2 linked regions of the Caenorhabditis elegans genome follow. The protein of the gene in region 2 purifies or fractionates together with the protein of the main gene of each other region. This does not show direct contact. Each region holds a gene or a part of one and is shown on either strand. Other genes may lie near its edges.

The links. The genes of interacting proteins can lie anywhere in the genome.
Region 1: the proteins of F44E2.4 (region 2) and F11G11.13 fractionate together in Caenorhabditis elegans (co-fractionation; one large-scale study listed by BioGRID). This does not show direct contact.

Annotation. Positions count from the first base shown.
Region 1 is NC_003280.10:4,874,712-4,877,943, forward strand, and holds F11G11.13 (arginine kinase), read right to left. Parts: upstream 1,469-3,232; 5' UTR 788-1,468; coding exon 776-787; intron 731-775; coding exon 569-730; 3' UTR 533-568; downstream 1-532. Other genes in the region: F11G11.15 (Ovule protein), read left to right, coding at 134-391.
Region 2 is NC_003281.10:8,832,409-8,840,000, forward strand, and holds F44E2.4 (LDL receptor domain-containing protein), read right to left. Parts: upstream 6,017-7,592; 5' UTR 5,968-6,016; coding exon 5,648-5,967; intron 5,074-5,647; coding exon 4,876-5,073; intron 4,833-4,875; coding exon 4,667-4,832; intron 4,620-4,666; coding exon 3,522-4,619; intron 2,612-3,521; coding exon 900-2,611; intron 854-899; coding exon 700-853; intron 587-699; coding exon 383-586; 3' UTR 72-382; downstream 1-71.

The sequences.
Region 1 (3,232 bases), on a different chromosome or scaffold from region 2:
GATTGTCACTGTCATTTGCTGGTAAGATTGATGGAGAAGCTGAAATAATGTGAGGTCCAACATTATTACAGTAATCATCAGGTTCAATAGATTAAATGCATTTTGATAGGTTTCGGGTCAAGCAATCTGATCAATGATCCATCATGTAGTTGCCAGTTACAGTAATCCTGAAAGTGCAAAATTATCCGGGGTGTATGTTCAATGTCGGCTTCACAACCACCTATCGTATTTCATCGTTTTGTATTGTACCCCATTGTTCAATTTTGTCAGCTTATATCTCACTTTTTCTATACAAAAATGTCCACTAACAAAATATTTGTTATTCCTTTTTCTATTTATTTGGATTGTGATCAATAAAATGTATTTGCAATATTTTCATGAAACCTGTTGAAAGAAGAAAAAACGTTCGAAGAAAATTAGAAGGAAGTTAAATCAAGTTAAAATTGTTAGAATGTGTCGATATACTTTCTAATTTTTCTGATCTAAAAACCCAATTCTTTGAAACTGCAAACAACCGGGGATGAAAAAAAAATCATCTACTAAAAAATTTATTTCATTGAAAATGATACTAGTTCTTATTCGGCGGCTTTCTCCACAACTCAATCAACTTTTTCAATCCATCGTACATCTGACGAACGGCTTGATACTCAGTAAGTCCAAGGCGTTGCTTGTTCGAGATGTCATAGATTCCTTCCTTCAAATCCGAATATTCTCCGTGAATTCCACGAATCTGAAAAACTCACTGTAATTTGCTGAAAAGAAACTTGAAAAATACCTGAAGCTTCATCTCACTGCAAATCTTCTTGAAGTCGTCCTTTGCCGAAATCTTTGGTAACTTAATGTGAACCGATGATTTCAAAGACGTTCTTGAACAAAAAAAATCTACATGATCAAATGTTTTATTTTGAAATGTAGACAATTACATATATGGCCAATATCTTGATTGTTGAAAATTACTTGCTAGAACCTCTAGTTTTTGAATTATACTCATCGAAAATCTATAGAAATAAAAAAACCAAAAAGCGACCGTGCGTGCCTACCTTCTGCCTGCCTTCTTGCCTACAATGCCTATTTTCTCGTATAAGTACAGGTAACTTGGTGAAAGCTCAATTAAGACAAAACATTTCAAAAAAAATCCTTTGTTACTTTAATGCACGAGCGGTCACTGTTGTACCTAAGTGAAATTCAGTGCATTTTTCTACTAGAACGCCCACAGTGAATATGAGATTTTTTGAGTAATGGATTTTTTGAATCTAGAAATTCATAGAAAAAATTCGTTTTTTTTTTCAGGAAAGCATCTGAAATTTCAGATCTTTGCGTTACAACAACTGAAAATTATGAGAGTTTCAGAAAATACAATTTTCCAATTGAAAATATATAAATTTCACTAAATAATAAATCTAAATTAAAGGTATTTTATCCCGTCTAATAACATTATCATTAGAATATCTAAGCTATTTCAAATCAGTGATGTTAATGATATCTCCTTATTGTCCTTCCAAACGACCCGATGAACCTAAACCGATTTTCTCGTTTTTATCTCTCTCTCTGTTTGTTTTTTGTACTTTCCCTCTCATTTATTGAAAAGTGAAAGTTCTCGAAGGACACTGACACTCTCAGCAAAACGTTCTGATATTGTTAAAATTGATTAAAAAAATGATAACATACTGAACGGTTCCTTCGTTCAAAAAATCAATTTTAAAATCTTCCTGGTTCAACATTTTCAGGTTGTGTAAATCGCGATTTTTTGTAAGATTGGTAGCGTTTGAAACGCTAAAACCTCAAAAATTGGCAGCTATGGGTGTCGAAATGAGGGAAAGATGAACATGGGTGATTTCGTTCCGTTTGAAGAATAAAAAGCGAAAAAAGAGACGATCACAAATCGCGCTCATTGATTTACTGGCCGCTAAGCGAGATGTGACTAGCAACATTTTAAAGAGAGAGAGAGAGAGGGGATTGGATTGATAGAGTTGCTTTCTTAGGTACGTGAGAAATTTTAAGGAACAAGTGCAAGCTTGAGATAAGATTCTAGAGATTCTAAAGATTCTACAGAAGACACAAACGTTTCGAGCTGCCGGAACTAGTTTAATAGGGATTATGTTTAAAACTCAAAAAATACAGAAGAACGAAATGGCATAATAAAATACATACGTTTTAGATTCTTGAAAATTTCCAGTTAAAGTTTTGGAAAGTTTTTAGTCACAGTTTTGGTTAATAAATCAATTAACCAACACTTTGTGCTCACTGAAAAATTTAAAGCAATTTTACATGCTTTAACACCTACAGTTTACTAATCCAAGTAATTCGAAAAAAATTAGAGTATATGTACAACTCGTAGAAAAACTAGTTTTTTTAATAGGCTTCCAAACTTATGAGTGGTGACATTGAGTAATCTAGACTTTATCACTGCAAATAGAAAATTAATTGTTTATTTTAGAACCATTGGAATGATTTTCTACAAGTTCCGGCTCTTCTCCCCTTTGAAACTTTGCGGTTTCGCATAAGGCGGTGCTCGTACGTATTTCGGTCTAGATTGATCTCGCTATAAAATAGTTGACGAACTTTAGATTGAAGTATATTTATTTTTGCATTTTTTATTCAATTGGCATTTTTTCTAAAACATAATTTTTATGACAAGAAAAACTTGGAAATATTCCAGGCAATTCAGACAATAGCTCAATCGGACCCTTTTTTGAAATTTTGTACCTCCATAATAAACTTTAGCGAACAACTGGAGCTTCTAAATTTTCAGATAAAAATTTCCACATTCGCAGAAATCGGGCGTTGAAAAAAGTTACAGATTCCGGAAGATCAAGAAGTCAGTACTAGTTCCTTACTATTTTAAACATTTCTAGTAAATAGTATCTCTATTCCAACTTGCTAGAAACTGAAATCATAATTTTTAACAATCAAAATGTTGTCTTTTGCAGATCCGAATACGTGTAATGTTCAATTACAACATTCGTTAAGTGTCTAGATATTTCAGAAATATCTGTACACAAACCTGAAAGGTTGCCAAAAATTGCCAAAAGTAGTGCCAGCTTGTAATTTTTCGGAGAATTCAAGACAAGCTTAAACTATATATCAAGGCTAACTAACTAACCCAACGAGTAGGTGTTTTGTTTAAAATTTTCAATATGGGTTTTTACAAAAACTAGCCTAAATTCTTTGTCGATATAAAAACAGGATAGATACTAAAAAATATGTTATATTTCAAGTGGGCACAACTGTA
Region 2 (7,592 bases):
CATTTTGCTTAAAAGCGCGCTAAAAAAACAATTTTAAAAACATTATAAACATTAAGATTTCACACTTTTTAAAAGTTTCAATAATTTATTACATCATAAGTATACAAATGCAGGCTTCAAGCCTATCAAATAATGTAGCACACCGTATACACGTGGAAGTTGGCGAAAATGTGATTAAAAGTAGAGAAGAAAAAAGGTTAAGAAACCCTGCAGAAGATCTGTAAAAAGGTTTGGGAAGAAGTGGAGCATTTTGGGGAAATTATGAAGATAAAATAGTTGAACAAAGAATATTAAAAAAAAACAATGAAAATTGACCAGTATGAGAAATAAATCGATGTGCAATGACATCACAATCAACGGTGAGAATGGAGCAAGAAAGCACCTAGAAAAGGGCAAAAAATGGAATAAGTGCTGCCAGAATAATGTGGAATGATACAGAAGATTGAACTGGAGGACTTTGTGTCGTTTCTGATTCTGTGATATCATTATTCATAGCAGTTGTGATTGATACTGGTGTTGTCTCATCCTTTGTTACAACTACTGGCTTCTGATCCCGAGATGGTTCTACTTCATTGACATCAATGCTCTGAAATAAATATAGATTAGAGTTGATCTTTTTTATGAAACAGCTAGGTTGAGTAGCGAAATTTACGTCGTAAAATGTTTGCTATCAAATTTAAAAGCTAATAAAATTCTGACCGTAGAATCCTTCGTTGGCTCTGGAGACTCCAATATACAAGAAGCATTGAATAGATTAGCCCAGTGCATATGAATACTGAAGACATGCAAAACAGCGTCAAATCCGCATCTCTTCTCGATTTCACTAGTTGAACATCTCATTACCTGGTTGATTCTGTAAACATGTTTATAATTTTAAAACTATTTATTTTAGAACTCACCCATCACACATTTGTGCTGGAGAACTGCTATCCAATTGATCAATCTTTCCAAAATCAGAAATGCAAGCAACTCCAGCATCGGATTTGGTGTACTCCGAGAGGCACATACCGTGTTGTTTCTGATCTTTGAGAGTGATCTTTCTGTTACAAATCGAGTCAATGAGACCAATTTGAGCAGATGCAGCTGGCTCATATTTACACTTGAGTCCTTCAACACATGGAATGTATGTTTGATTAGCCATTTGACAGAATTGATCCCATTTAGAAGCATCTCCGATGATAGAAATTGGACGGAAAGCGAATTGATCAAGATGTGTTTCACATTGAAGATATTCAACAAGTCCAGATTCTCCACATCCATCAGTTGGAGTTGATGGGGATTCGGTTGTTTCGGTTGTAGATGGAACAGTTGGTTCTGTTTCTTGTTCCGGCGCAGATTCAGAGTCAGATTCAGAAGAAGTTGAAACCATTGTGGATGATGAAAGAACAGTTTCAAGAGTTGGAGTGACTCTTGCTGGTTGATTAATTGGAACAATTGGAGCTTGATGTGGACGAATTGGGCAAATATCTGGAGTGCTCATTGCTTTCATAATCTTAATTGGGCTCTCTCCACATTTAGCCACAACAATGTCTCTTGTACAATCAATGAATTTTGGAAGAACTGCTCTCAAAGTTGACAAGTTGAATTGTTTCAAAGTAGAGATGGTTGATCTTATACATTGAGCAAACTTTGGTTCTTGAGCTTGACCGAAAAGGCAAGAGAGATTGTCATCGATTGCTTTAGCTGGATCGGACAATTGACAGATTCCTCTTCCAGCCTCAACCATGCAAGATGAGACGACACATGACGTACGTCCTTCGAGAAGGAAATGAGCACAGGTTTTGAATTCATCAGTCAAGTTACAAGCTCCTGCAAACACTGGAGCAAGTGAATTGATATTCTTGATAAGTGACTGCATTCCTCCTGCGAACAACTCTTCCACTCGAGACCCAATATCATTGAGTGGAGCTGCACAGTGTTCAATAATTGATTCCTCTTCAGCGGAACATCCAATTCCAACAACTCTTCCCACTGGAAGTTGTCTTCCAACCTTGCATCGGACATCAATAGCATTAGCAAATCTGATAATGTAATTTGATACCCAATCAGCAGCATCTTGACCGCATTTTCCTTGAATTTGTGGGATTGCACATGAATGAAGACGGTTGGAGGACATGCAAGCGGCTGTTGGTGCTCCTCGGGAGAAGTCAGAGACACATGAACGAACTTCTTCAATCATTGATGTTTCACGAATACACTTTCGAACCTTTTTGAATTGCTCATTTGCTTCATTACAAGCATACTCAAACATTGCACTCATTCCACGAGCCCATAATGGATGACAGTTACTCTCTGCAGAACATGCCTTAAACGTATGGAATGCCTCACATGCCTGATCAATATCTCTTGGAATTGCGATGACTGAAAGTGGATGTGGCTGGAATGAAGTAAGAGGCTTCACACATTCCTCAAACTTCTTTTGATCTTCAATAGAACACTTGGATGAAGCAACTGGAGGAGTTGGTGCAGATGGGATTGGAAGTGGCTTGGCAGTTGGTGCTCTTGGTGGCATGGTAACTGGCGTTGGACGAGCAACTGGACGAGAAATAATTTCATCAAGATTTGCTGGTGGATCTCTTGGACAACCTTCTTCTTCTCCGAGGGATGTCATCTGAAAGTTATATTTTTTTACAATATAGTTTTATTCAGAGATAGTGAATTTTTTGAAGTTATCTTTGCCCTCATATATATGTATGTTGTTATTCATGACAACATAACTACAATCAAACCAGAATCATCATAATGATTGATAAGCGAAATAGGTTGTTTTTTGATTGAATAATTACTTCAACTATAACAATGGGAACAACTAGTACAACATGAACCGGTTCAAGTTTTTACTTGAATTGAGAGTCAGAATAAGATTTAGAATGTTGTAAAAATTGGATCGGTTTTAAGATGTTCAGTATATGTAGCAACTGGTATTTAAGAATCTCACTAGAAAAACATGTTAACTTTTTTCAGTTCTCAAGCTAAAAGGTAATAAACGTGGAGAAAATAATCCTTGTTAAAAGAATTCTTATATGGGCAATGCTAAAAAATTTGGGAAAATTATTTATTTTTTACGGTCATTTTTAATTTTTTAATGTTTTATAATGAAACGTCTTAGAAGTTCAAACCGGCAGCAATTACTTAAAAAGTCCAAAATTTTCAAAAAAAATTGGCAATTTACCAAAATTTTGAGTGGAAAATCTAAAAACTTTTGAGGTGTTTCATTACGAAAATTAAAAAAAAACGGTAACTTGCCATAACTTTGATTGCACATTTTGAAGAAAATTAAACATTACAAAACGTTTTATTTGGGTTTTCAGTGTATTTTGACAAAATCCCCAATATCACTAATCCATCGTTAACGGTCAAAAACTATTGTTGAACTATGAACCCGTTCTCTAAATCTGTTCTCCTGCCCATCCCTCACATTGGCTGAATGCGAAAAGCTGTTGATGACTCATAAACTAGTTTGGCGTCATCTTTCCCGAAAATCACAACTAAAACAAAAAGAATCAAAGTTCACAACTAACCTTGGTCTTCAAACTAAGCAAATCAGTCAATGCATCAGCTTCACATTTGTTCTTAACAGCTCTTTCTCCACAAGTGAAAGTATCTCTGATTGTGTAGAAAGATTTACATAGAAGAGCTTCTCCGTGAACTCCCTGAAGCATCATTTGAACTGTATTTGAGAGAGTTGAAAGAGATGATTGGCAATTTGTATCTTCATCAGCTTCTGTGGCAAGCTTCTCGAAACAATCTCTGTGCTTTGACAACAATGGTCGGGAATCCAGGGAACAGATTGGTGCGAGACCGATTCTGGCGAGTGAATTGAGTGGAGAAGCAAACGAGCAGCGTTGAGAATTTTTGAATACAGTTGCAGATAGACATTGTTCGTAACGAGCAAATAATGAGCAAATTCCTTCGACAACCGTCGAGTTTGGACTGGCGATTTCCAAAAGGAAGTTAAGATTTGCAAATGCTGTGAGCTTTTTGTTAATCTCAACAAGTTCAACAAGACATCCAAGTGCTCCGTTTTCTTGCTCTTCAGTACATTTTGGAAGAGTTGATTGGAGATGGAAGTCACCATCATTGACTGGTTCCTTTTCTTCTTCTTTCTTATCTTCAAAGCATTTTCCAGCAATGATGAGATCATTAACTTCTTCTTGAAGTTCTACAACAAGATTTTGAGCATCAACTTCACATTCATCATTCATGGTAACAATGGCACAATCCAAATTGTTATTATAAGAAATCAATGCCTCACATTTAGAAGTGGCATTTCTGATTGCACATTTCTCCTTCTCCAATGTCTTCTGATAACAATTAGACCATTTTGCAATTTCATCCTGCTTTGCACAGATTTTATCAGCAATAGCTGCAAATGGATCAGCAGAATAATTGGCAGAGCAGATATCATAAATGTAATATAGGGAATTGACAGCATCAGCCATATTGATATTAAGAGCTGGTTTATTCTCAACCTCTTCATCATGAGCAGTAGTTGCTGTTGATTCTTCAGAAGTGTTTGTTGTCAATACATCATCATCATCATCTTCAGCGGATGCCGATGTTGATTCAGTTGTCTCATCGACAATTAGAGTAGTGCTTGATGCATGCTGTTCAGGTGTCTAAAAGCTTATTATGTTGAATTGAAAGACTAAGTGTTCATTCTTACCACACATCTAATGGCTGACACGATGTGTTCAGTCTCTTCTCTGATTGGACTGAGCATCTCAATAGCATCGGAGGAGCAAGTTTCCGGGCGAATGGTTTCTAAACAAGATGTGGCAGTTTGAATTGAGGTGACAAGGCCGCAGAGAGTGGAAGATGATGATGTCTTGCTGAAACAAAGAAATATAAAACTATACAAATATTCAGAACCACCTAGCATCACATCTTGGATCAGCAGATGATTTGAAGCATCCAGCATGTTCTTTAACTGATGGAAGAACCAATTGACACATAAAAACTTCAACTTCTCCCCATGAATGAACACCTTCATCTGGCATACATCCCTTCTGATTTCCAACACATTCTTGGTAGGTTGTCATTAGATTACATCCGGCTTCGAATCGCGATTGACTGGAAAAAAGTGAAATTGATAGATTTGAAGAATTATGAAATGATGGATTGTTTTGAAAAGTGAACAGTTTCAGCTTCTCAACAAAGCCATATGGTACTTTCAGAGGTTCAAGCATAGAGCGTGATCTAGAAAAAGCAAACCCTCGGCCTTATCTTTGATTTTCACTTCCGATCTTTCTGAAGCTTGTCTACAATAGTTAAAACCAGCCAATTTGTAGAAAAAGCTCCTAACTCAATTTTGAGGGTGCCCGAGTTTTCGAATATTAAAATTTAATTGTTTTACCAATTGAAAAATTGGCTTACTATTAGTTTAGCTTTAAAACAATTCGGAGAACAGAGAGAAAAATTTCAGAGGCAGTTTTTCGCTGGACATTTTGTGCATGTTTTTTTATGCAATCAAATTTTGTTCGGAGATTTTCTTCTCCGTTGCCAAATTTCCAAAATTAAGCCCCGCCCGATTCCTGGCTGTTTCGAGTTTCTCTAATGCTGCGAGGTTCCTGATGGACACATCGCAAAATCAACCGTGGAATGACAGTGCACATTTAAGAGAATTTCAGGTTTAAAAAAATCTCACATTTCCGATGACGTCAGGAATGACATATTCTTCAAGTTCAATCTTTCAATTTGACTTAAAAAGTGTACAATTGGCTCAGAGCAGTTATCAATTCTCTGTTGCATTCCCCAATCACAATCTTCATCTGATCCAGGTGTTGTCGGTGCACTGACGACTTCATCAAACTTTGTTGTTGTCTCACCGGTAACCGCTTCTTCATCTGATCCATCTTCACAATCTTTCTCACCATCTCCTTTCCAATCTGATGGAATGCAACTTCCATCGGCACACGTAAATGTGTTCGGAGGGCATGCAGCTGATTGAACAGCTGACGTCGCCATGGCTGCTAAAAGCCATACTAGCAACACCCAACGCATTCTGATTTTGAGGCTGAAAGAAATTAAAGAAATTAAATTTTTTTATTGAAGAACACTGGAAAATGAGAAAAGTATTCAATTACAAGTAGAATTAATTCAATTTGATGGAGCCAATTTAAAATGAACCATGAAATAACCTTTTAAATGAAGTAGTCTGGTGCAACACTAATAGAGGAAATACGGTATCTAAATTTTTATACTGGATAAAATCTGTAAAAAGTATAAACGATGTGACGATGACTAGTGGAGGTCAAAATAAAAGATGGGGCGTAACGATGAAGCATAATAGAAAAGTAGTTTTGGAAAAAAGGAAGCTTGAAGAACCAGAATCGGTAAGGGGGCGCGGCACCCAGTGGATTGGTTTGGCGCGCGTTCAAATTAGGCTTAAGGTTCAATAATGGATCATTGAGAAGCGTAGAGACGCAGCAAGGCTAATGTGGTACGGATTGACAGGGAGATGGAGCGGCAAAAAGAAGAAGTGTAGAGAAAGTTGGCGAAGAAGAAGAAGCTGAGAATCGAGATTTGTCACACATTGTTAGAAACTTAATCTATTGAGATATATGGTAATCGGATTTGTTCAGGTGGAGTGGTCATTCAGAATAGTTCAACAAATATTCAAGCCTATGGATTTTTTGTATAAAAAACTATTGAAACGTCGACTTTCCTTTCAATTCTTATTTTAACTTAAGATAAGCATGAGCCATTCAATTTTACACTGGACAATGTTTGAAAGCACCAAAAGCCCATATAATTTTCAAAAGTCAAAATTTCGGTAAATTGCTAAATTTTTCAATTTTGCATTTATTGAGTTTCGAATATTGAACATCGCAGCAGAAGCAAACACCTAAGATAACTTTTAAAAAACAGTTGAAACGCAATTTAAAAAATATGAAATCGTAGAATTTTTTGTATGGCTTCCAGGACGATCAGAGATCAAAACTGAGCGTTTACCATTTTTTGACTGAAAATTAAGAAATTTCAGAAAATGTTTGACAAGCTTTGCTATGATTTTCTTTAAAATATTGGCAAGTGTTTTGTCAAACTTAGCAAAACCGGTGGAGTCTTGAATCAAGTCTAGTTTTTGAAACATGGTGCATCGACTTTAACTATGTACAACGAGCTTTTTCAATTCAGAACTGTGTTTTAATTTAAAAAAAAGAATAAGAAAAAACAATTCGGAAAGGCTGTGTAAAACTGAAAATGTTTAAATAACTTCGACGCTAGTTGGGAAGTTTAATTGCTGTAAAGCTTCTCAAATCTAAAATGAAAACATCTTGTTAACAACCAGAAAAACATGCGTAAATGAGAATATGTAAAGCGCATTGGAAAAGGATGGAAACAAATGAAAGGAAATGTCATAATTGGAAGCTATCGGTATTATTGTGCGAATTGTTCATTTCGGTTGGCCGCGCCTTCTTCTTCGAATTCTCCAGCAGTTCCTCCTCCTCCCATCATCCTTCCGTTCTCGTCAGTCATCACTGTGTGTTCCCGAATTTCAACACACAAGAGAAAATGCAAATGTTGGACACAGGTAAGAAAGGTGAGCGAGAGAGAAAAGAACAGATAACCCAAATATTCAGCCTTGGAAA